Linked DNA regions of Notamacropus eugenii. The protein of the gene in region 2 interacts with the protein of the main gene of each other region in a pairwise test. Links are inferred from orthologs where the notes say so. Each region holds a gene or a part of one and is shown on either strand. Other genes may lie near its edges.

Region 1 (7,866 bases), on a different chromosome or scaffold from region 2:
AGTGTTTGTATTCACCTATCAAGATATCATGGATGAGATAAAGTTAAACAGTATCTTAATAAAAGTTATGATAAATCATCTTAATAAGCCAAAGAAATATTAAAGAAAGGTAGAGGGAAGGAGGTACTAGAAAATTACTTTGTGTTACTCCGTTGATAAGACAAAGAGGAGAGATTAAAAATAAAACAAAACACATGACTTTCCCAGAGAACAAAGATTTCATTATCTCTCTTATTAAACCTCAGCTGTGGATAAAACCTTCACAGTTTGTCAAACATATGGCCAGTGACTTAGAACACAGATTTTAAAGGTTTTAAAATAAGGCTTCAAGCCAGAAAGAGATGTCCTACTTCATATTTGCCTCTGCTTAATGAATGTGTACTTTAGTACGACTTAGATAATAGGGAACGATTAAACATGAGAGTCTATAAACCTCTTTCCCCACAAGAATACACTTTAATGAGTAGGTATGCTTTAGGTCAGCTAGGTGGTGCAGAGGATAGAATGCTGGCTGAAGTCAGGAAGACTCATCATCCTGAGTTCAAATCTGACCTCAGATACTGATTAGCTGTCTGATTCTGGGCAAGTCACTTAACCCTGTTTGCCTCAGTTTCTTCATCTGTAAAGTGAACTGGAGAAGGAAATGGCAAACAATTCCCAATATCTTTGCGAAAAAAAAGCACAAATATGGTCACAAAGAGTAGGACATGACAGAAGAACAGATTTACATACCATAAATATGCTGTTTTAATTCCATTTTGTTCTCCTAAAACTATCATGTTTCTCTCCCTTTCTTTTTTTCCATGTCTCTCTCTGTCTGTCTTTATGTATGTATGAGTGTGTGTGTATAAACATACATATTCATGGATGATATATATACACAATTTACAAAATCATATATGTAAAATAAACCTGAACTCTATATACATGTTAAAATTATTACACGTATGTAGGTAAATAGAATCTATGGTACATGATGAGAGTGACCATCATCTTGCATTCAAAGCTTGTCAGATTATAAATTTAGGAAAATAAATTACAAAAGCACGCTATACAGCAGATTAAATTGGATGTGAATTTTACTGACAGTAAGTAGCCTGCCTATAACTTCCAAAATATAATGTTGAAAAACTATGACTCTGTATTCTATCTCTCATCCTGTATTCAAAAGATGATCAACATTGAGATTCAAGGCAGTAATACTTTTTTATAGAAAATAACCTTTTATAAATATCCTTTTTTTATTTATTCTATGAATCTCCAATATTATTATCACCATTAAATAGTGCATCCACTAAGGCACTGAACTGTGAGATAAAATGTTAAGACACCTTTCTTGCTTTTCCTAGTGAACACAGTCTTTAAAATTTAAATAGAGTATTGATACTAGTCTTCACAGGAGTAAGAACAAGATAATATTTATAGCCACATTAAGGAGCCTTGGACTTGGAGTTAAAAGACCTGAGTTCAAATCCTCCCTCTGCCAAATACAGTGTGTCTTTAAGCAAGTCACATAATTTCTCCAGGTCCAGTTTCCTCATCCATAATATGATAGAATTGGATTATATAACCTTTAAAGCCCCTTCCTGCTCTAAATCACTTTATCACAGTCTTAGATTTAGTAGGGACCATTCAACCAAATTTGTACCTACCAAGGTTTTTCATACAACATACCTAAAAAGTGGTCATTCATAACATATCTGAAGAATTCTAATGAGGGAGAACTTCTTACCTCTAACCAGAGCTCATTCTACTTTTGGATAGTCTAAATGTTAGGATTTTTTTTCTTTTTCTTTTATATTCTAATAACTATGTATTCACATTTCACAATTTTATCGATCTTATCAGAGATTATAAGTTGCCACAAATGATTATACATGCCTATAAGCTATATCTTACTTTTGACAAACATTTATAAATTAATTTATTTTCATTTTTCCTCTAACTACTCTTTTAATTTAAGATCATCTCTTACAGAGAATTGATATGTTATCAAAGATTAAGTATCATGATGTATGTAATATATGCAAACATATACATTATTTAAAATTAATTTAACTCAGAGAATTTTTTTAATGGGAATGCAACCCTGGTGATTTCCAACACTACATAGAATAATAAAAGGAAGTAATGAAGTGTATACATTCCAAAACCAGGAGCTACCAATATAAAATCATTAATTCCTTCGCGCAAAGTTTTCTCAGCAACATTTTTCTTCTTTTCCTGAAACTGATGAACAGTTATTGAAATTACTGGGTTATTTCCCCTCTCCTAAATACAGTTTCAGTCCTTGAATCTATTTGAGAGTGGCGATAATCTTAGATCTATAAGAGTTAAGAAACAAGTAAAACAACCACACACATCTCTTAGGTAATCAAGTCAACCCATCTCTTTGGAACAGATTGTCCTCACAATACATCATTTTTATTTGCTTATTGCAATAAAAATTTAAAATACCTAGGGAGCCATGATCTGCTTCAAAATAAAGATGCTAAAGAGTTGGTCTTGGAATAGTGGCAAACCAAAAGTATCTGAGTGAAAACAGCTTAGTCATCACAGATATAAAAGATGAACAGTATTTTAAGCTAACTTTACTACTAAGCATAGTTAAAATTCCCAAAAGTTTTAAGATATTTCCTCAGTTCAGAAGGCATTCTTTCATACTCTAGGACAATTCATACATGAGTACTACCTAGAACTGAAAATAGAAGACAGCCTCTTAAAATGAAGAATAATAAGATATCCTGGAATATAAGAGAAAGAAGGCTGGATAAATCTTTCCATTCTGTCCTAATCTATCTCAACTCACTATACTTATTAAAACATACATAGTTTTATCCCAGACCCTTCCCTCTCCCTTTTGAAAGGTAGTTTATTAGTTCTTACATTAGCTGGGAATATTACAGATAACTGTCACACATAAAAAACACTAACACATTTACATATATGTATATACCAATAAACATAGACAACCATGGAATTTAACTTATGGGAGCAAAACTTCTGATATAAATATTAATACCTTACTACTTCTACTTTTAACACAAAAGTATTTAAGATCATTCTGAATACTGGTAATTATTGTCCAGTAAGACTGGAAAAAAAGTTTTCCTAATTCAGTATATTTACCTATAAGTAACTACTTGTATATTCATTATTGTACACAATACATGAGCATTTATATTACCTATTTTATTTTCTTAAGCTGAAATTCTTATAATATTTGACATTTAAAGTTATATGAGAAACACAAAAATCATAAAACTATTTTAGTCTATACTTACAACAGTCTTCTGCTTCTTCATACCAAATCATTTGGACAAAAATAAAATATCAAGGCAACAGGGAATATCTTAATGAAAATGTCCTCAGCTTTATTACTCCAGTAGGTTTTTTAGAGTTAGGCGAGTCAGTAAAAATGAGAAGCCAAAGTAACCTTCCAAAAAAAAAAAATAAATAAAGCCCTCTCTGTTTTCTTTGAAGTTTATCTCTAAAGTTCACTGCTTCTAAGGTCTGAATCTTGTAAGGGGAGAATGAGTGAGCCTAACTCCCAAAGAGTCAGTCGATGTAGTAACTGATGCCAGGATTCCATAGAGGTCCCTAGATGTTTCAAATTCCAGGACCTGCGCAGAAGCAGGCAGCTGGGCTTCCCTCAAAACAAGTTGGTTTCCCATAATAGGACTGCCCATGAACTCTACATATAAGGCTGTGCTTCCAGGATGGCATGTACTGTATAACAAATTCAAAAGATGACCAACAGCTTCCTGATTAGCAATGAAGCTAAAATAGTAAAGTAGCTAGAGTACTGCTCTCTGTGCCTCTTAAATACACAAAGACTGTCGTGAAAAGTCCTAACAATAATTTCTAAGTATCTTCCCAAAATTCATAGAATTTTCTCATTCTTATCAATGCCAAATTTTCAAAAGCTTCTTCTCTTTTTCAATTCAAATGCACTTGCAGTTTTTTTTTCTTTTTTCTGACTGACATGCAAATGCATGCCTGGAATGATTTGTGCATGAATTATGTATCCAGAAACTACAAATATTAATTTACTTCCCTTGGGATCCAATCAAAAATCATAAATTGATGATGCAAACAATTCAGAGTTGAGTCTAAGTAGGAGAAAGTTGCAGTAGAGAGCTGTAGTGAAAATATGTCTCCCAGGGAGCGTTATTCATTTAAATGAAAGAATATAAACTTTTTTGGGGAAACCCATTAAAGTTTCAGGTTAAACTAAAACTTCTTTCCTAATCATGTACTCTTTCTTAAATTTATTCACTGACAACAAGAAAAAATGCCATTCTGTTTGACATTCAAATAAACAGGTTGAGCACAAGGGAAAAATATTTCAGTGTAGAACTGGAATAATTGTGCTTTGATTTACACAATAGATGTTGCCAGCAAATCATAGAAGGTTAGAGTTGAAGGGGTCTTTCGAGAAGATTTAGTAAAGTATCCTCATTTTACAAATAAGGAAATTGAAGCTCATGGAGGGTAATGGTGTGTTGAATATCATGTCCTTAACAGTGGATTGGGTCCTGAATCTGAAGACGTCTGCCTTCCACTCCCATATTCTGTTCACCAAATTGATAACCAAGTATTAACTTTGTGGGGCAGCTAGTTGGTGCAATAGATAGAACACTGGTCCAGGAGTCGGGAAGACTCAACTCCCTGATTTTAAATCTGGTCTCAGGTTCACCAGCTGTATGACCCTGAACAAGTCACTTAACTCTATCCCAGTTTCCTCATCTGTAAAATGAGTTGAAGAAGGAAATGGTAAACCACTCCAGTATCTTTGCCAAGAAAACTCATAAATGGGGTCACAAAGAATCAGACAACTGAAATTACTGAAAAATAACAAAATTAACTCTGTGTGGGGGGGAAAGGGGTTGTATTGGTGGATGGGGGTGATAGGAGAGATAAATAGACTAGTTTTTAATGCAATAAGGTAACCCAGTATTAAAAATCCTGTGGTGTCCCCTTACCCTTTAGGAGTAAAATTCATTTGAAATGCCTATTAATACAATTTAAGTCTGGGAGGACTTTTAAGGAGGGATTAAAATCTGAGCTGGTGGTAGAAGTATGTACATTGCTGAAATCAAGGACACTATCCACATCTCAAAATTTGTAAGATCAGAATCTCAATGTTGTTTCTTTGGTACTTACTTCCTAGTAATTTTACATAAATTTACTTGGAAAAGGCAAGGAAAACTGTCCCAGTGCAAAAATAATAATGAAAACAATTTTGATCTATGGTAATGACTTGTAGATTATACCTTCAAGAAACAGTGAATCAAATAAAAATTCTATTATTAAAATGTAAAGACACTCTTTATTAAGAATACTTGGCATACATCAGCTTGAAGGGTGTATGTGTGTGTGTGTGTGTGTGTGTGTGTGTATGTGTGTGTGTGTGTGAAGACTGATTAGACCATCCTAAAAAGCAAATTGAAGGGGGAAAAAAGACTTAAAAGGACACATCAAATGTCAAAATTGCTTAGAAGATGTTTTAATGTCATGTGTTAAGGGGTTGTGTTGTCCACACATTGCAACTCCTGTGTGTGTCTGGGACTAGTAACTGATGATTACCAACAACTGGGAGAAAGAAAAATACTACTTATAAACAAGGTTCCCAAAGATTCATTGAGCAATTTTAAGCTTAAAAAAAAAGATTTCAAAGCTTACTTAGACTTTTGGGACATCCCTGAATGAGGGATATTCAATAAGAGGGAGGAAAATCTGTATTACTAAGAAAAAAAGCATCAGATGATTTACAATATTAAATGAGTAGTTTAGAAAGAGGAAAAAAAGATGTGATTGAACAAAATTGTGACTAAAGGAGAAAGGTTTTTTAACCACTAATTATGTCTTTTTTTATTACGTACCTTCACAGAATAATCACTAATTAATTTGTCAAACACTTTATAGAAGAGAAAATGAAATATGAATTGTTATAATTTAAAATGCACATGCTTTACTGTTGCTAATAAGTATTCTTACAATAGATGTAATACTTCCATTTCACACTAAATGGACTGGCTGTGCCTACCGTTAGGTAGGTATGGGTTGGCAGTGAGGAGAAAGGAAAAGTCTGAGCAACATTATATATTCTACCTCTAAGATTCTAAAGGGCACTAAACAAGATCTCTGTCCCAGAGAATATGTGTTCCAGGCCTATGGATCAATATATCAAACAGAAAATAGGTCCCTGCATTCAGCCCTCTAAATATATCGAAGAAACACTAAAAGGTCCTCTGAGACCTGACATAAACTGTATGTCCACATACAAGTGGCTCTCGATGTGCCAATAACTTCAGATTTAAAAGACTTGAACTCCATATTTATTTAACATAGACTAATGTTGCATATTGTGATTCTCTGGCCTTCATCCTTGGTTAGTATTTATTCAGTCCATCAATAAGAATTTATGAAATGCTCACTATATGTTATGTGCCAGTGATATAAAGAAAAAGTTCAGATAGTTCTTGTCCTCAGGACACTTACATTCCTCCTCAATTTCCCTTGGGATCTTTTTGGTACTAACATCCCTAATGTAAAAACTTGATATGTTAGATGCTAAGTGAAAGGAGTAGAACCAGGAGAAATTTGTACACAGCAACAACCACAGTGTGAGAGGAATTTTTCTGGTAGACTTAGCCCTTCACAGCTACGCAAGAACCTAAAAAATTCCCAATGGACTCTTGAGGCAAAATGCCTGCCACACCCTGAGGAAGAACTATAGAATTGGATTGCAGAATGAAGCAGACTATTTTCTCTTGTGTTATGTTTTGTTTTGTTTTTTTTCATGGTTTCTCCCATTCATTTTAATTCTTCTATGCAACTTGACTAAGGAGAAAATATATTTAATAGGAATGTATGTGTAGAACCTATATAACTGTATGTCATCTCAGGGAGGGAGTGGGAAGGGAGGGGGGAAAGTGGAGTTGGGAGGGGGAAAAATCTAAGATATATTGAAGTGATTATAGAATACTGAAAACAAAATAATTTAATAATAAAAAACTTAAAAGTCAATAAAACATAATATTTTGAGAGAAAAAATAAAATAAAACTTGATATGTTAAAAAAAAAAAAACAACTTAAATCAGACCAAGAAGACTAGAGCTATATAGCAATCTCCTTTTGCCCTGAGAACCACAAACAGAGCAGGCCGGGGTTATAAGGAAGGTATTTGTTTTTTGTTTTGATTTTTTTAAGCTACCAAGGTTAAATGACTTGCCCCTGGCCACAAAGCTAGTAATTATCTGAGGTCACATTTGAACTCAGGTCCTCCTGATTCGAGGTCTAGTGCTGTATCCACTGTGCCACCAAGCTTTTCCAGGAACAAGATTGTTTTGTAAAAATATTTTCTAAAAATTCTTCCAAAATGCTACTATTAACTCATTAACAAATATCATATACATATCATCCTATTGTCCCTTGCTTCTTTGATGAGCTTACAAATTCATCAAGAAAATAAGTAAAATGAAATGAGATGTAGGACTGCCTGGGAAGAGAAATAGAAGAACTGGTGACATTTACCTGCGTCCTACCATTGGAAGAGATATTCCAAGTTCCAAATGGCACATGAAAAAACTAATGGCTATTAAATTACATTGTCATTAAGCGCTAAATTGGGTGGAACAAACCATAAGTTTTGAAGAAACTCAGATAAGGGGTTCATTCATTCAACAGATATGTAATATGAATTTTCTACTTCTAGAAAGGAACTAAAAGAGACACTGAGAGAGTCACAAAGATAAATAAGACTTCATAGAAACACTGAATGTCAGAATTGGAGAGAACTCCTAGGGTTTCAAGTCTAGCTCAAAGCAGAAGAATACACAGGTCATTTAGCCACACTTGGTT
Region 2 (7,752 bases):
CTGTTAGTAGTAAATATCATATGTGCTCAAAGGTATTTGTGTGCTTACTATTTTGGTGGGTTGGAGAGGGCACTGAAAAACTAAAAATTAGGAGACCTGGGTTCTTCTTGTCATGATTCTACTGTTTTACCTTTACCTTGTAAAATCAGGAGGCTCAGCTAGATGATTTCTAAAGTCCTTTCACATTTTATGACTGTGACCTGGTGCAACTACTAACAAGGTACAGCGCCTAAGAAAAATTATTTTCAATGATCTTATCAACTCCCATTGATTTAGTAGTCATCTCTATGCAGATGATTCCCAATTCTATGTGCAGAGCCCTCATCTCTCCCGTAAGTTACAGTCCTACATCTCCATCTACCTACTGGAGATTTTTATCTGAATGTCTCACAGGCATCTCAATCTCAACATATCCAAAACAGAGCTGATTATCTTTCCTCCTGACTTCCCTAATTCTGTCAAGGGCACCACCATTCTTCCATTCACCCAGGTTCCTAACCTAGAAGTCACCCTCAACTCTTCACTCTCATCCCTTCCCACCCACCCCACCCTCAATCAATTATCAGGTCTCGTTCTCCCTCTTTAGCTTTCACTCTTGAAATTTGCCCACTTCCTTTCAAGACTCAATTCAACTGCTCCCTCCTTCAAGTAATCCCTCCTAATTCCCCTAGTGGTTAGTTTAACTTCCCCCAACCCCAACATTTTACATCTGTATTATATTTGCTTATCTATAAGTATGGTATAACCTCACACCTAGTAAATGTAATTCCTTGAAGTAATTCATTTTTGTAGTTATATTCACACACACACACACACACACACACACACACACACACACATACACACCTAGCCATAGTAGGCATATATTAAAAGCTGGCTAAGTTGACATCTAAATCTCCTTTACCAGTAGGAACTTTGTTTCTAAGGAATAGCAGCATACACATAATAGAAAATTTTCACTCCCTGTGTAGGAAGTTTATTTTAAATGTCTAGAATTTATAAAACATGTTTAGAACAGTTAACAAGAATATGCTGCCAGCATCTCTTCCCCAAGTAAATTTCATGAAAACTATTTAAAATATGTCATTTAATAGCACCAAAGCACAAACAGTAGTGTTTACTACTATCACTGTTGACGCCTTTCTTTGTATCCCAAGATCTAGTGGTTTTTGCCTTTCTTTGTATACCCAGTGCTTAGCGCAGTGCTTGGCATATGTGTGCTTTACTTAAATATATGTTCACAACTAAAGAACTACTTCGATCTTTTGAAATCTATCAGTATTATCTAGAACATACTATACTCTAAAGGCCAGTTTCACCTATGGGTACTAAGAATTCTCTCAGAACTCATAAAAGGTCAAGTTTTAATTTGGCAGACAAAGTAACCCAACAGGCAGTGCAACCCAAGCAAGTCAAACAACAGCCTGGAACTTGAGACCCCTAAACTCAACTAAGAAACAGAATAAATAGAAGAATCCTAATCTTCACAGTTCACCAACACTAAAAACATATAACTTTCTTCTCAAAGACGTCATGATAAAACTGAAAGGGTACAGGTTTTTAAGTAAAAGTATCTACATGAAACTAGCACATTACAAGCTAAAAGGAAAGACCACATCATTCTAAGACCCTAAAGAAACTCCTTTGATACAGCTTACATGATGCAGACAAGAAAACAGTGTATCCCATAAGCAGTAGCCACTGTTACTGTTCACACTGAGGAGTTAGACCTATGTTGACATGGTTGGAACGACCTTCCATGTGAAAAGTCCATACGTCCACCTTAATCTGAAGCGGTGATTCTGTACTGCTCACCTTAAATAAAGGTTGGCCAATTGAGCAGCTAATGAAATCCTGGCTCTGGTTTCTCACCCACCTTCTAAGTATTGAATTTGAGGGCTTCCAAAATAGCCCAAAACTGCACTCAGCTATTCATCTGACCCTTGTGCTTTTCTCCCACAAACCGGCCATTTAAGCTCCAAATGTCCAGATAAAGGAGCAAAGGAGTTCAGCAAGTTAAAACTAAGTAATGAATTATAAAACTCACTGCCACTGTATTCATATGTTTCTTGTCTCCCCAAATGGACTACTGGCCCTTCAAGAGGCCTTTACAATGCCTACCTAGCACTGTGTGCCCTATACCTAAAGTAGGCATTCAATAACTATTTGTTAATGATCATACCAGAGGGCCGGATTCCCAGGCCAGAGTAAGGAACCTAACAATCAGGCATACACCTGACCTCAAATCCCACAGCTATTTTCCCTTTAGGGGCTCAGAACTCTAGGTCACTCTAATTGCAAGTCTCTTGTTTTCTCTCAAGACTCGATGACCGATAACCACTTTCTCTGCCAGGGCCTGCCTCCTTCACCTGCCCTCTGCCAGGACCTGCCCCATTCTCCCCTTCAGCACTCGCTGCAGATCGTCTTCTTTCGAAGCTGCTTCCTCCAGGCAACATCAGCAAGGGCTCATCCCCGCTCCCGGACCGAATGCGCCATGGAGTCCCCGGCGCCGCCGCGTTCTCGAGTGGCAAAGAGCAGCTGCAAACCTGGCACGGGGTGGGCAGGGGAGATGGAGAGGGTGGGACAGGAGGGGACCCTCCCCTTTCCCGAGGCTAAGCATATACTGCAGTGTGCCTTCGGATCGCTCTCCCTCCAGCCCCATAGTCGCCAGCTCGGGTCAGCGCCTCGGCAGCTGCACCGGGCACCCGAGGTCCTGCCTCGCTGGCACGGCACGCCGCACTTGGCACCGGCCCGGTCCCGGCCCGCACGCTCTCCCGGGGCACCGCCGGGCACCCCTCCCCCTCGAGCCCCGGTGCGGACCCGGGATCCCCGGCACTAACAGCAGCCCCTCTCCCGCGCGGCGCTGAGCCCGCCCGCCGGGGGCCGCTCCAGCCGGGCTCCGGGGTCCGCTAGCTCCCGGACAGGAGCTCGCGCCCGCAAGGACCCCAGCAGGCTGCCAGGCTACCCAGCTGCCTTCCTTCGGGGGCGCAGCAGGCTGCCCTCCGCCGCCGCCGCCCCCCAGCAGTACTCACTTCCCGGGGGTGGGGGGAGGATCTCCGGCGGCGGCGGCGGCGGCGGCGGCAACCGGAGCCTCCTCCTCCTTCTCTTCCTTCTCTTCGGTCCGCTGCCCGCGGCGGCGGCGGCAGCAGCGCCCGCCCAGGCCCCGGAGCCGCCCCCGCGCCTGAACGTGAGCAGCCGCCCGGCTCGCGCCGCTTTCCCCAGCCCCGAGCGCGCACCCGAGCCGGAGGGGAGGGGGGAGGGGGAAAGGGAGCTGGGGGGCTGGAGGCGCGCAGCAGGGAGGGGGTGACGACGGCGCGCGCGGCTCAGCGCCTCGCCCGCGCGAGAACAGGCACGGGGCGGGGGCGGGGCCTCGCGCGCGGAGCTCCACTCCGGTTCTCTCGAGCCCTTCCCCCTCAGTCCCTGCGGAGCTCGGCCGGCTGTGGGGCGTCCCGGGGGTCCGGGAGCCGGGGGCCCCAGAGAAGTTTCCCCTCAGGAGATTCTCCGGGCCCTTAGGACAAAAAGTGCCACCTGGAAGCGGGGCATCCCTGCTAGTGGGAGCTCCAGTGCCTGCGCCAAGGTGGGAAGCAGAACCTCAGCCCGAGAGGAGGCTTCTTGCTACCTGTACCTGTCGAGCGGGGGGCGGGGAGGTCTTGTGGATGGAGCCGAAGATTTGCGTTCACTGTGGCCCGGACCAGTCACTCAACCACCCTGACCTTCAGTTTCCTTGTCTGTGAAGTAGGACTAATTACCCACCTCCCTAGTTGACTGTGAGGAGCTAATCAGATAATGTATTTTGTGAAGCCAACGTGCTATTATATAAATGTCATTACTGTTGAAAGGGTGATGCACCCCTGTGCCCTTCACGTGAACTAGATGTGACTTTTCCATATAATTGAAACGTATCTAAGTGGTGGTTTTAAAATATACTTATTATTCATTTTATATTATAATCATATAAATATGAGACAACCTGGCCCAGCCTTCAAGCCACAGAAGACCTGCATTCAAGTGGCTATATATGACCCAGGGCAAGTAACTTAATCTCTCAGTGTACTAGGCAACTCTCTTAAAAGAGGTTATAAATTACAGAGAAAATACTGAACTGAATTGATAGAGGGAGTTTTCTCACCTGGGGAGTTCCCTTATACAGGTCTAATCCGCATCCATACATACTTGTATATTCGTGAAATTTCCCTCACCTTTGTGCTCCAGCTAGAGCATTCCCCCTTTAGACCATGCATAAAACTGATCTGAGCTCCCCTGACCACTTTCAGTGGACTGCTTATGCTCGGGTTTAGCATGGGGAAAATCTGGGTTCAGGGATCATGTAAAAATGCCTTGGTCCCAATGGTGGCAGCAAGGGGAGACAGATGCTTCGAAAGAGACTTGACCACTGAGCCAGAAAGAGCCACTCCCTCCGTAAACCTTGAAAGGAGTGACTGCCCTCTGGAGGACTGCTTTTTTCAGTTTGACAAGAATGGCATGTTCTGTGAGGATTTCTCTTCTCATAAGAGAAAGGGGTACATTCCTCTCCCCAACTTATCAGTCTCTTGTTTCATTGAAGTCTGAGCATGTGTTTGTCTAAGTGAGCCTGGGTAGGAATCTCAAGGCCTTGGCTGCCTTTTTTGCTTTTTATTCATTCTCTTAACACAAGTGACCAAACAGTAATCCTGAAATGGACATTTCCAGGTTTGGAGGCATCCTGATGAGTCTGACAGGTCAGGAGATCTTGCATCTCATAGTTGAAGCTGATGAGAAGTGGAGTTTTCTGTAACTATTCCTTTCTCAGAGAAGGTGACCGCCAACAAACAGGAGGAAAAACTCAAGCCCTGACTTGTTTTGCTAGAGAACTGTACCTTTAAGAAATTGTTCAAAGAGGGCAGAGACAAGGTGAAGATTAAATGATTGTTTAGCAGCTCCACAAAATGTTTCATGTTTTAATTTTTTTAAGTTCCAACCTCCTGAGAGAGTAGAATAGGAGTTATGACTTATTGTATCATATTTTAATGAGTTACTGTAACATTTTAAGTCTTTACAGTGTACATTTATGAGTTGTTTTTTGAGGATTTCTTTTGTGGAGAGGAAATAAATGGCTGTCCTCTAACTAAGCTATATTGTACATTTAGTAACTGTCTGATCCCCTTTGGGGAGATTGTACACATGAGCCAAGCTAAAGCTTTAATTGATTTTTCTGAGGTTTTCAACATAGGGACATAACAAGCAAAAGACTACTTTTTAGTAGTCTTCAGATCCCTCTCTTCAGAGTCCAGGTTCCCCCAAGTCAGAACTTTGTGGATACTTCAAGTGATCTACTTGCTGTCCAGAGAATTCTCAAAATCTTGCCGATTGTATGGTGCTTAGCCCTCCTTATAGTCATATACTGCTACTGGAAAAACCATAGCTTTGATTAATGGACGTTTGTTGGCAAGGTGACATCTCCACTTCTTAGTAAGCTGTCCAGATTTGCCATGGCTTTCCTTTCAATGAGCAGGCATCTTTCAATTTCATGACTTCAGTTGCTGTCTGCTGTGATCTTTGAGCCCAAGAGCATAAAATCTGACACTGCTTTTGTTTCTTCTCCCCTGGTTTGTCGAATGATAGGAATAGTTGCCAAGATCTTAACAGGTTTTTTTATGTTAAATTTCAAGCCAGCTTTTACACTCTCCTCTTTCACTCCCTCATCAATAGGCTTCTTCATTCTTCACTTTCTGCCTTAAGAGTAGAATTAAATACATATCTGAGATTGTTGCTCTTTCTCTTGGTAACCTTAATTCTGGCTTTTGATTCATCTAGCCTGGCATTTCACATGATATGTACTTTGCTTATAAGTTAAATAAATAAGGTGACAATGTACAGCATTTTTGTACCCTTTCCCAATCTTAAAACAATAGGTTGTTCCGTGTTTTGGTCAAACTGTTGCTTCTTGCCCTGCATGCAGGTTCCTCAGGAGACAAGTAAGATGATGTGGTATTCCCATCTCTTTGAGGACCTGACACATTTTGTGGTGAGCCACATTCTTAAAGGCTTTAGTATAGTCAGTAAAGGAGGAAAAGATGTTTTTTTCTGGAATTCCCTTGTTTTCTCCATAATACAGTGAATGTTGTCAATTTGGTTTCTAGATCCCCTGCCTCTTTGAAAACGAACCTGTTTTTCTCATAATTCTCAGTTCACATATTGCTGAAGCCTAGCCTGAAGAATCTTAAGTATAACCTTGCTGATATGTGAAATGAATGTAATTGTTTCGTAATTTGAACATTCCATGGCATTGCCCTTCTTTATGATTGGGATATAAACTGATTTTTTTTTTCAATCCAGTGGCCACTGTTGAGTTTTCCATTTTGCTGGCATATTGAATGGAGCACATCTTTTAGGATTTTAAATAGCCCAGCTGGAATTCAGTCATCTCCACTAGAGCCTTATTGTTTTCAGTGCTTCCTTAAGGCCTACTTTGACTTACTTCTGTAGTATGTATGGCTCTAGATCAGTAACCACACTATTGTGGTTATTAATGATGTTAAAATCTTTCTTGTATAGTTCTGTATATTCTTGCCACCTCTTTTTAAACTCTTCTGCTTCTGTTAAGTCCCTACCATTTTTGTGTTTTATACTGCCTGTTTTTGCATGAAACCTTTCCTTGATACTTCTAATTTTCTTGAAAAAATCTCATCTTTCCCATTCTATTGTCTTCTTCTGTTTCTTTGCATTGCTCATTTAAGAAAAGCTTTATTTCTTTTTGTTATTCTCTGCAATTCTACTTTCATTAAGTTGAGTATATCTTTGCCTTTCTCCTTTCCCTTTCACTTTCCTTCTTTCCCAAGCTATTTGTAAAGTCTCAATCAGTCGTTTTCCTTTGTTGGTCTTCTTTTTCTTTGGAATATCTTTTGTTGCTGCTTCCTATATAATATTGCAAACCTCTGTCTGTAGTTCTTCAGGCACTCTACCAGATCCTTTAAATCTATTCATCACCTTCACTTCTTAGTCATAAGTGATGTTATTTAGGTCACACATATGTGGTCTGAAGATTTTCCCTACTTCTTTCAATTTAAGTCCGAATTTTGCAGTAAAAAGCTCATGATCTGAGCTACCATCAGCTCCAGATCTTTTTTTTTTTTGCTGACTATATAAAGTTTCTCCTCCTTTACATGCAAAGTATATAATCAAACTGATTTCAAGATTGACTATCGAGTGATGTTCTTGTGCTGAGTTGCCTTTTGAGTTGTTGAAAAAGAGTATTTGCTATGAGTAGTGAGTTAGTTATCTTGACAAAACTCTATTAGTCTCTGCCCCACTTCACTTTGTATTCCAAGGCCAAACTTGCCTGTTGTTCCAGTTATCTTTTGATTTCCTACTTTGGGATTTCAATCCCAATGATGAATGTGACATTTTTTAATATTATTTCTAAAAGATAGAGGTCTTCATAGAACTGAGCAACTTTGGTCTCTTTAGTGGTTGGAGCCTAAATTTGTATTACTTTGATGTTGAATGATTTGCCTTGGTTTTGAACAGATAGCATTGTCATTTTTTTAGATTATACCCCTGTGCTGCTTTTCTCACCCTTTTATTAATTATGAAGGTTTCTCCATTTCTTCTAATGAATTCTTGCCCACAGTAGTATATGTAATGATTACCTGAATTAAATTCTCTCATTCCTATCCACTTAAGTTCACTGACACTCAGGATGTTGGTGTTTGATCTTTCCACCTCCTATTTGACCACATCCAGCTTACCCTGGATCATAGATATTCCATTCTA
Region 3 (8,716 bases), about 170 Mb from region 2:
CAAGGTATCAAGGAACCCAGTGAGACCTTGCTAAAATTCAGGGTCAACGAGGACCGACATCACTTCTCCTGAAGGGAAGCTCAAGATATACTGTAATAAGCGCTGAATTTGGAATCAGAGGTCCTCCATTCAAATACCAGTTTTGTTACTTACCTAAGCAATATTGGGAAAGCCACTTAACTTTAATAGACCCTAGTTTTCTCATCTGTTAAAGAAGGGGATTAGATTAGATGATCTCTGAGACCCCTTGTTGCTCTAAATTCTATGCTCTTTTTAATCTATATTGCTTTCTCTGGGCTAATCATTTCAAAGTACCAGGAATGATAACACTATTATTATTAATGGCTAATCATTGAATTGGTCCTGCTCTTCCTTTTTCTCTTATCCTACCATTCAAGGCCCTCTATAGGGTATCCCATCCAACCCCCCAAATTCACAACCTCCTCTCGTTGTGTGTATTCTTTTCCTCCAACCAGACATCTTCTCATCTTCCAGTACAAAATTTATCTGTCCTTCAAGAGCTACTCTCCCTTAGCACTCACTTCTCTCTTTGAAGTTTTCCCTAAAAACTCCAGGACTTGATGATTTTCCTTAAATTCCACAGTATTAAGTAGTCCTGGACAAGTGGATCACCAAAGAATTTTGAAGCCAGAAGTGACATCAGAGGTCATTAGTTCAAACAGCATTGAAGTATGGATCTCATCCCTAACATACCTGACAAATAGTCCTTTAACCTACTTCTCCCCATCCTATCTTTCTGAACTAGCTGCTCCTCCTGCCTTCTGGTACCAAAGCAGAACAACAGTGGAAAGAACTCTGCCTCTGGCATCAGAGCTGGGTTCAGTTCTTGCCTCTGACACTACCTGCGTGACTGGGCAAATTCCTTAACTTCTCTGGGCCTAAGTTTTCTCTTCTATAAAGTGGAGCTACAGGCCAACTAGATGGTTTCTGAGGTCTCTTTTAGCTCTAAGTCAATTAACCCCTGGATCTTGTGCTCTTTTCCATATAACATCACTATACCCCAACTAAGGCAATCTAGGTAAAGAAAGTCCAACTCCACTCAGACTTGTTTGGAAAGAACAAAATCAGATCTAAGCTTTCCTGGTTGGATAAGTCTTACCCAAGATTTCATCTAATCATTAACCCTTCCTGTCAAAGAACTAAGCTCTCCAAATGAGGAAATAGGAAGGAAAAAAATCCTGGATCTCCCCAGTGTTAACAACTGGTTATTTAATAATCATTTCTCCCATAACAGCCCGTCATACATGTGAAGATATCAATAAAGTCCTAGTATTCTCTTTTCCAGGCTAAATAGTCCTAGTTTTTTCAACTAATCTTTTGCTATGCGGTCCCTTCACTGTTACAATAATTTCTCTGGATGTCCCTCATTTTGATAGTGTCAGTCCAAAAATGTGACCCTTCTCTCTTCAGACCAAAAATAGTGGCAGGGTTGAACCATTTATTGAAGATATTATGAAGGGGATTTGGGTAGGAACTGGACTAGACAGCCCTACTGGAGTCCTTTCCTCCTCTGAGCCTCAATTCAACTGGAATGTATTTAATGCCTACTTAAGCAAGTGCTGAGGAAAACGAAGAAGAAAGAGACAGGGGCACCTTCATCTCTGGATCCTTAGCCTCTTGCCAGCATGGTATAGTAGAATGAGCCCTGGATTTTGAGCCAAATGATCTGGGAGGAATCCTGGCTTCGCTCCATCATATCTATGGAGTTTTGGGCAAGTCGTTTCACCTTTGGACCTCAGTTTCCTCATCAGTATAAAAGTGAGGCATCACTTGAATCACATACAGGTAGTGAGGAAAGTACAAAGCATCAGAGAAATGTGAGTTGCTACTCTGATAGTTACCTTGGGCCTCTGCCCCAGGGATCTCCTTTCCTCCAGTGCTAAAAAACTGTAGGCTCCCCAAGAGGCTCTTTCAGCATGGGGGTGGGGGCAGGGGAACTGTCACATGGTGCAGTAACTGAATTGGAGCCGCCAGCAGGGGCAGAGGATGGGGAAGCACAGGTTTTACTAAGCAGGCTTTGCTGCGACCTGGCTCAACCGCTCTAGCTCCAGGGACTCCCTCCCTATCTCCCCCTTTCTCTCTGAACCTCCAGGGCTTACTTAAGGTAGCAACATCTGCCTGTGTGCAACCCTGACCCCCTGCTTCTTTCTGCATCCCAATATCAAGACTAGGGATTAGCAAAGGAAGTTGTGAGCTGAAGTGCAAAGAACACCGGAATGGGAGTTGGGAGACAGGGGTTTCCAGTGCTGGTACTGCCGTCATTTAGATGGCTGTGTGATCTTAGGCAAATCCCTTTCTCTGGATCTCAGTTTCCTTCTCTGTAAAATAATGGATGAAGTTGGAGGACATGGTCAATAAGGTTCCTCCAAGTTCTGACAATCTACGTTTGTGACCTGGGAACTGGAGAGGAAGGTGGCAACCCTCGGGTCAAAGTGGGAGATGAGTGCCTGGTGATTGCTCTTGATTAGGGAGTCATCCCCTAAGCATGCACAGGGAAATCCCTAAACCAACTAGGCATTTAGCTGAAAAGGTTGAGGCATGCATGCTCTCTAGACCGAAAGCAGTCGGGGAGGGGAAATATACATATATATACACACACACACATATATATTCCAACCCTTCCCCTGCAAAAGCATAACTGCAGTTTTCTTCCCAAGGCTTTTCACGCACGCAGTGACCAGGGAAGACCCCGGGCGCCACTCTGGAGCCGGGAAGCCAAGAAAGAAATAAGGCGGAGGCGTTATTCGGTTAATGCGTTCGGCCGGTCTTTGGAAATCAGGACCGAATCACCTCTGTCCCAAACCCAAGCACTCCTGTCAGGCTATCCTAAAGGGGGCTTTTCAGAAGGGAGATTCTCTAGGCTGGGGCTGCTGGTGGTGTGAACCGAGGGCGGCGTCCCGAGGGTAAGCCCTGCAGTCTCTGGGGGCTGGACAGCTCCTGTGGCAGGTTTCCCTCTACCTCCCTCCGCAGTCCCCCAAGACCACCGCAGGCGCACAGCAGAAGCTGGGGTGGAGGGAGCTGAAGGGAGAAGTGGGATAAGAGAGAAGGGGGTGAGCTAGGGGAAGGAGGAGAGGGAAAGAAAAAGAGGAGGGAGGAGAGGAAGGGGGAGGGGAGAAGCGAGGGAGGGAGGGAAGGCTGGAAGGCAGGGGAGGAGGGGGGGAGAGAAAGGAGGGGGTGACTGGCAGCGGGAGGGGAAAGGAGGGGATGAGGAGGTACTCACGGCGCGGGGGAGCCGGCCGGCCCTTCGCCTGGAGCCGCCGCTGCTCCACATGGTGACCCGCGGGGACGAGGCGCGGCAGCTGGGGCTGCTCTGCTCCGGCAGGGAGCGAGGCAGCCAAGCAGGCGCGTACAGGGCTGGCGCCGCGGCCCCGGCTCGGCCAGGCTGGGAGGCGCCCGCGCGGACTCTTCATGACGGAACAGGCGAGAGGCTGGACCACCGCCCCACCCCCACCCCATCCCTGACTTCCTTCACACACGCCCCCGCTCTGGTCCCCGACCCCTGGGGTGCAGCACGAGAGGAGGCGGCAGGCGGAGAAAGAACTAGGAGGAAACGGTGTGACATGGGTTCGAGTCCGAGTCTTGCTCCAACTGCCTCTGTGACTTCCCTCAATAAGCCTCAGTTTCCCCATATGTAAATAACCCAGTTGGTCTCTAAGGTCCCTTCCAGTCTGACATCCTATGGAACACACTCCACCTGCACCACAGAATCATTAGATTTCCCTCCCTTCAAGGCTCCTCTCAAAGCCTCCTTTTACAGGAGGCCTTTTCTGATCCTCTGGTTGAGTGTTCACCCTCCATTACTGTGTAGAGACTTATCTGTGTACTCAGTATTTTCTCCTAATAGAATATAAATTCTCTGAGGGCAGAGACTTTTTTCTGGTCCCTTTGCCTGGCTCATTTTTCTTACCGAGACCTGTGAATTCACTGGTGTATTGAAACTTCTGGGGAGGAAATTCCTTCTGTCAAAGCATCTCAGCAACCTTATTGTTCCTCAGAGGCAGGATTTTAACTCAGTTCTTACTGAATCCAAAGCCAGACTTCTATCCACTGCTCTATGTTGCCTGGCACAAATGAGATGCCCAATTAATGCCTGCTAAGTTAAATCAAATATTATCTTTTTAAGGTGTTAGTTCCTGATTTTTAGCGAGGTAGTTTGTTAGGAACTTGTGGTTAGAGTAAGGATAGTCAGGCCTAGGTGTAATTTGAGGTGGGGGGGGGGGGAAGAAAAGAGCTTAAAATCCTAAATTCTTAGACTGAAAACTAAGGGAACAAGGAATCAGTTGGGATCTCCTGATTCAGTTGGGTCACACAATATTTATTATGACTATTTTTCTATGGTACTTTACAATTTAAAGGTCACCTTATTTGCAAAAAGGCCAAGGAGGTAGTTCAAACATTATTACCCCTGATGTGCAGATGAGGGAACTGAGCTTTGGACAGTTGAAATGACTGGTTTAAGGTCACACAAATAAGTGTCAGAGCTAAACCAGAAACATAGTCCAGTGACCTTTTTTTACTATACTGTCATTCAAATTATAAGTCTGACACAGAGTACTTTCATCCATTCTAATCTGATCTACAAATAATCCTAGAAGGTGAGCAGTATTAGTTTTATCAATATTTAACAGAGGAGAAAACTACAAGCAAGAGAAATGAAAGGTTTGCTCAAGGTCACCCATTATCCAGTGGCAGAGGACTTGTGTTCAGCTTTCTTGTTTCCCTTCAGTACTTGCACTAAGATACATGGCCTCCCAGCATGAGTGCTGAAAGCAATTTCTCCAGGTCCACAGTATAAGAATATTGCTCTCACCCTGACTCCAGTAGAAGCCTTGAGAGTCAATGCCTGGTTGTCCTTGTTGATTTGTATATTTTCCATCTACATGCTATAATAGAAAGAGGTTTGGATTTGAAATGAGAAAACCTGGCCTTAGGTTCTAGCCCTGCTACATACTACCTGTATGACCTAGGAAGCCTCTTATTTTCTCTGGGCCTTGGTTTCATTAAATGTGTAGCTCATATAGACTCTAGGGTTCCTTCCCCCAATTCCCACTTGTCCTAGAAAGCTGGTTCCCTAGATGGATGCCACACTTCCCTTTCAAAATTATAGGGGGATCCCTAAGGTGTTGGAGTATCTTTCTAATGCTACTCAACCCCCTCAATCAGTGTGTTCCCTTCTCCTCCAATATCACCAGCAATTATCACTCCAATATCAGTTAATCAATTAACATCAATGAACTTTTACAAAGAAATATTTACTATAAAAAAATCAAGAACCAAAATACCTCTGAATCTAGGAGCACCCTTTCCCCTCTATATATCCCTCCATCCCTGGGGATAGTAGGCTCAAACTTAAAATAGTGACAACACAATATTTTCACTATTCAATTCATTTCTAAGTATGGAATTGCCAAAGAACAAGTTCTTCCATTGCTTACAAGGACATAACTTCTCTACTGCCTGGTTGATTCACTGGTAGATTGATTAAAGCAGGTCATTACTCAGTGCTGGTTCCTTCTTGTTCTCAGCTGCTGAACCAAGCTAAAAAAAGGCAAAGCCTAGTGTCCAGGAGTGGGAAGTTGGGAGAAGGAACCCCAGGATCTATTTGAGCTACACAATTAAGGAAACTCAGGTCCAGTGAAGGGAAGGGGCTCCCTAGGTCCTATAGGCAGTATGGAGCAGGGCTAGAACCTAAACCCAGATTTTCTCATTTCAAATCCAAAAACCTCTTCTGTATTCAATATTCAATCATCTAAGACTAAGAAAGAAGAAACACAAAGAAACAGAGACATTATATGCTCACAGCTAGTTATCTGCCCTGGTGGGGAGAACAGTCTGCTAGCTCTACCTCTTTTATCCACCAGAAGCCTTATAGAAGTTCTTGCCTTGCTTGTTACCAAGGAAGAGAGTTTCTCCATTGGAGCTTTTTGTATGCACTCGCATATCTGGTACAAGTCATTTAAAATGGTTTTTGTAACTCCACATTAAGTGGACAGGAAACATTTACTGAGATACTTTCACGATAAGAGCAGAGCCTCTCGATTATAAGTTTTCAGGGACTTCCAGAAGCAAATTCTCCAAGCTCACCATATGGGTTAACAGTGAGAAGGCCACTTTCTATCCAACCACCCCCTGAACATGCTCTGAGGACTGCAAACCCATTAACCATTGCCCTCATTATATCTGTAAAATGAAGGGTTTGAACTAGTTGCTTTCTTAGGTTCCTTTCTTGCAATCTTATATCTACTCATAATAACTGAGAACTGGTTCTGAACATGTTTCTGCTTTTCCTACTGAACTTTGTTTATGTTGAATTTGCTTGCTTTCTACCTCAAAAATGTTAGACCTAAGATTATGTAGCTAGCAAATCACAGATTCTCAGTTATAATGGAACTCAGAGGACATCAAGTTATTCCTGTACAATTATCCTCCTACAATATCATTTTAATTCAACAAACATTCCCAAGCATTTGCTATATGCTAGGTGCTTTGATTATAAAGGAAATGAGGGAGAGGGAGAGGGAGAGGGAGAGAGAGAGAGAGAGAGAGAGAGAGAGAGAGAGAGAGAGAGAGAGAGAGAGAGAGAGAGAGAGAGAGAGAGAGTTGCCTTTGACCTAAAGGAGTTTATGTTCTACTGGGAAGCCATGTGTACAGATAAGTAAATACAAGATAATTTGAGGAGGAGGGAGAGAGTGTAATCAACTGGAGGCATTGGTAAGGGCTTCATGAAAGAGGTGGCACCCAAATTAAGCCTTGAATAAAGAGAAAGATTCTGAGAAGCTGGACATGAGAAGGGAGTACATTCCAGGCATGGGGGAAAGCCTTCTGCTAATGCACAGAGACAGAAATGAAATGTTCAGTTTGGTTAGAATGAATAGTATGTGAAAGGAAATAATGTGAGGCTGAGGAGCTGGTACTTTATTCTAACGACAATGGGTAGTAAATAACAATAACATTTATATAGAGCTTACGATGTGCCAGGCACGGTGCTAAGCATTTTATTATTTCATTTAATCCTCACAGCAACCCTGGGAGATAGGTGCTATAATTATCCAGAGTGACATAGTCAGAATTATGCCTTCTGAAAATGATTTTGGCAGCTATGTGGAAGATTAACGAGAGAGGAGGAAACTGGAAAGAGGATGACCAACTAAGAGGATATTATTAAAGTCCAGGTGAGAAGTGGTGAGGGTTGGAACCACAGAGGTTCCTATCTGAATGGAGAGCAAGAAAAGAGGCCACAGAACAGGCAACTGACTGGCTAGGGAAAGGGAGAGACAGGAGAGAGCCATGGATTTCTCTGAGGTTGTTAATCTGGGTGACTGAGAAGAGGGTGATGCCCTTGACAGAAAAGGGAAGTTTGAAGGCAGAAACTAGCCAATATTTCCATCCAGTTCCCAGTCTGGCAGAGCAAACTACAGAAAGATTGATTCTAAGTATATCTTTCCTAGCTCCCTTGGATAAGTTCCATTTGTTCCCTTCTCATTTTCCTCATCACATGGTCCCCTCCTTGACATACAGTCACCCCTAGTGTCCCATACTATGCAGAAGTCATCACAAACACAAACACGTGCACACACATTTACACACAAGCAGACATCTCTCCTCCCAAACTTGAGAAACCCCAAAGGGGACCCAGGTGTGAAGAGTTCACTTCTGTCTCTTGCCTGCACCTGTTCCAAGGCAGACAATGCCATTGTCAAAATGTTTCCCAAGGTTGTTGGCAGGCAAAGAATTTTGTAAATTTTAAAGCAGTGTGTAAACTAGTGATATTGTGATAATAATAGCTAACATTTATCCAACTCTTCAAAATTCAAGAGAGTTTTATGGATATTAGCTCATTTTATCCTCACAACCATCCTGAGAAGTCAGTGCTATTATCATCCCCACTTTACAAATGATATAGACAGAGATTAAGTGACTTGCCCAGGTTCACACAAGTAGCAAGATATGAGGGAAATGGAGGGGAGAGAGGAGAGATACCACATATAAATAGGTATATAGCTACAATGTAGGTAGGTACTAAGTAATTTCAAGAGAGAGATAGTACCAATCAATTGAGGTGTCAGGAATGGTCTTGTGGCTCTTAGGAAGCCCTGGCTTCCGACTCAGTCCAGATCAGGTATTGTCTCCTGATACCTAAAGTGTTTAGTGTTTTCTCTTGAAATTACTTCTGGCAGACTTTGAATTCAAGTCTTAATTTCATGTCTAGCACTTGAATCACTGTGCCACCTAGCTGCCTCTTAGTATGACCAAGTTAAGCCTTTTTTTTTTTTTTTTTAAAGAGGGAACAGTAAAAAACTTGAAGATAGATTTCATCAGGGCCAGAAGCTGACCCTGCATGGTTACTCTACATTGCTGAATATTTAGTATATTTAAAAGTGATTATGATTATACATGTGTTATATTTCTCTCATTAGTCTATGAGTACCTGGAGGGCAGTTAGATGGCAAAGTGGATACAGTGCTGAGCCTGGAGTCAGGAAGACTGAGCTCAAATTAAGCCTCAGATCCTTACTAGCTTTGTGATCCTGAGAAGTCACTTGACTCTATTTGTCTCAGTTTCCCTTTCTGTAAAATGTGCTGGAGAAGGAAATGGCAAACCACTGTTGTATTGTTGTTAAGAAAACCCCAAATGAGATCATGAAGAAGCAGACATGATTGAAATGACTGAACCACAACAAAATCTTGAAGGCAGA

What was found. The genes of interacting proteins can lie anywhere in the genome.
Region 1: the proteins of DTNB (region 2) and DMD interact in binary tests that used the Homo sapiens proteins (3 or more experiments, as listed by UniProt). The link is inferred for Notamacropus eugenii from reciprocal best matches to the Homo sapiens genes DTNB and DMD.
Region 3: the proteins of DTNB (region 2) and BEGAIN interact in binary tests that used the Homo sapiens proteins (3 or more experiments, as listed by UniProt). The two-hybrid records come from large-scale screens. The link is inferred for Notamacropus eugenii from reciprocal best matches to the Homo sapiens genes DTNB and BEGAIN.

Annotation. Positions count from the first base shown.
Region 1 is NC_092876.1:441,926,234-441,934,099, reverse strand, and holds the start of DMD (dystrophin), read right to left. Parts: upstream 3,408-7,866; 5' UTR 3,316-3,407; coding exon 3,285-3,315; intron 1-3,284. UniProt on the Homo sapiens protein: Anchors the extracellular matrix to the cytoskeleton via F-actin. Ligand for dystroglycan.
Region 2 is NC_092872.1:526,514,677-526,522,428, forward strand, and holds the start of DTNB (dystrobrevin beta), read right to left. Parts: upstream 3,164-7,752; 5' UTR 3,033-3,163; intron 1-3,032.
Region 3 is NC_092872.1:354,341,396-354,350,111, reverse strand, and holds the start of BEGAIN (brain-enriched guanylate kinase-associated protein), read right to left. Parts: upstream 3,408-8,716; 5' UTR 3,293-3,407; coding exon 3,242-3,292; intron 1-3,241. UniProt on the Homo sapiens protein: May sustain the structure of the postsynaptic density (PSD).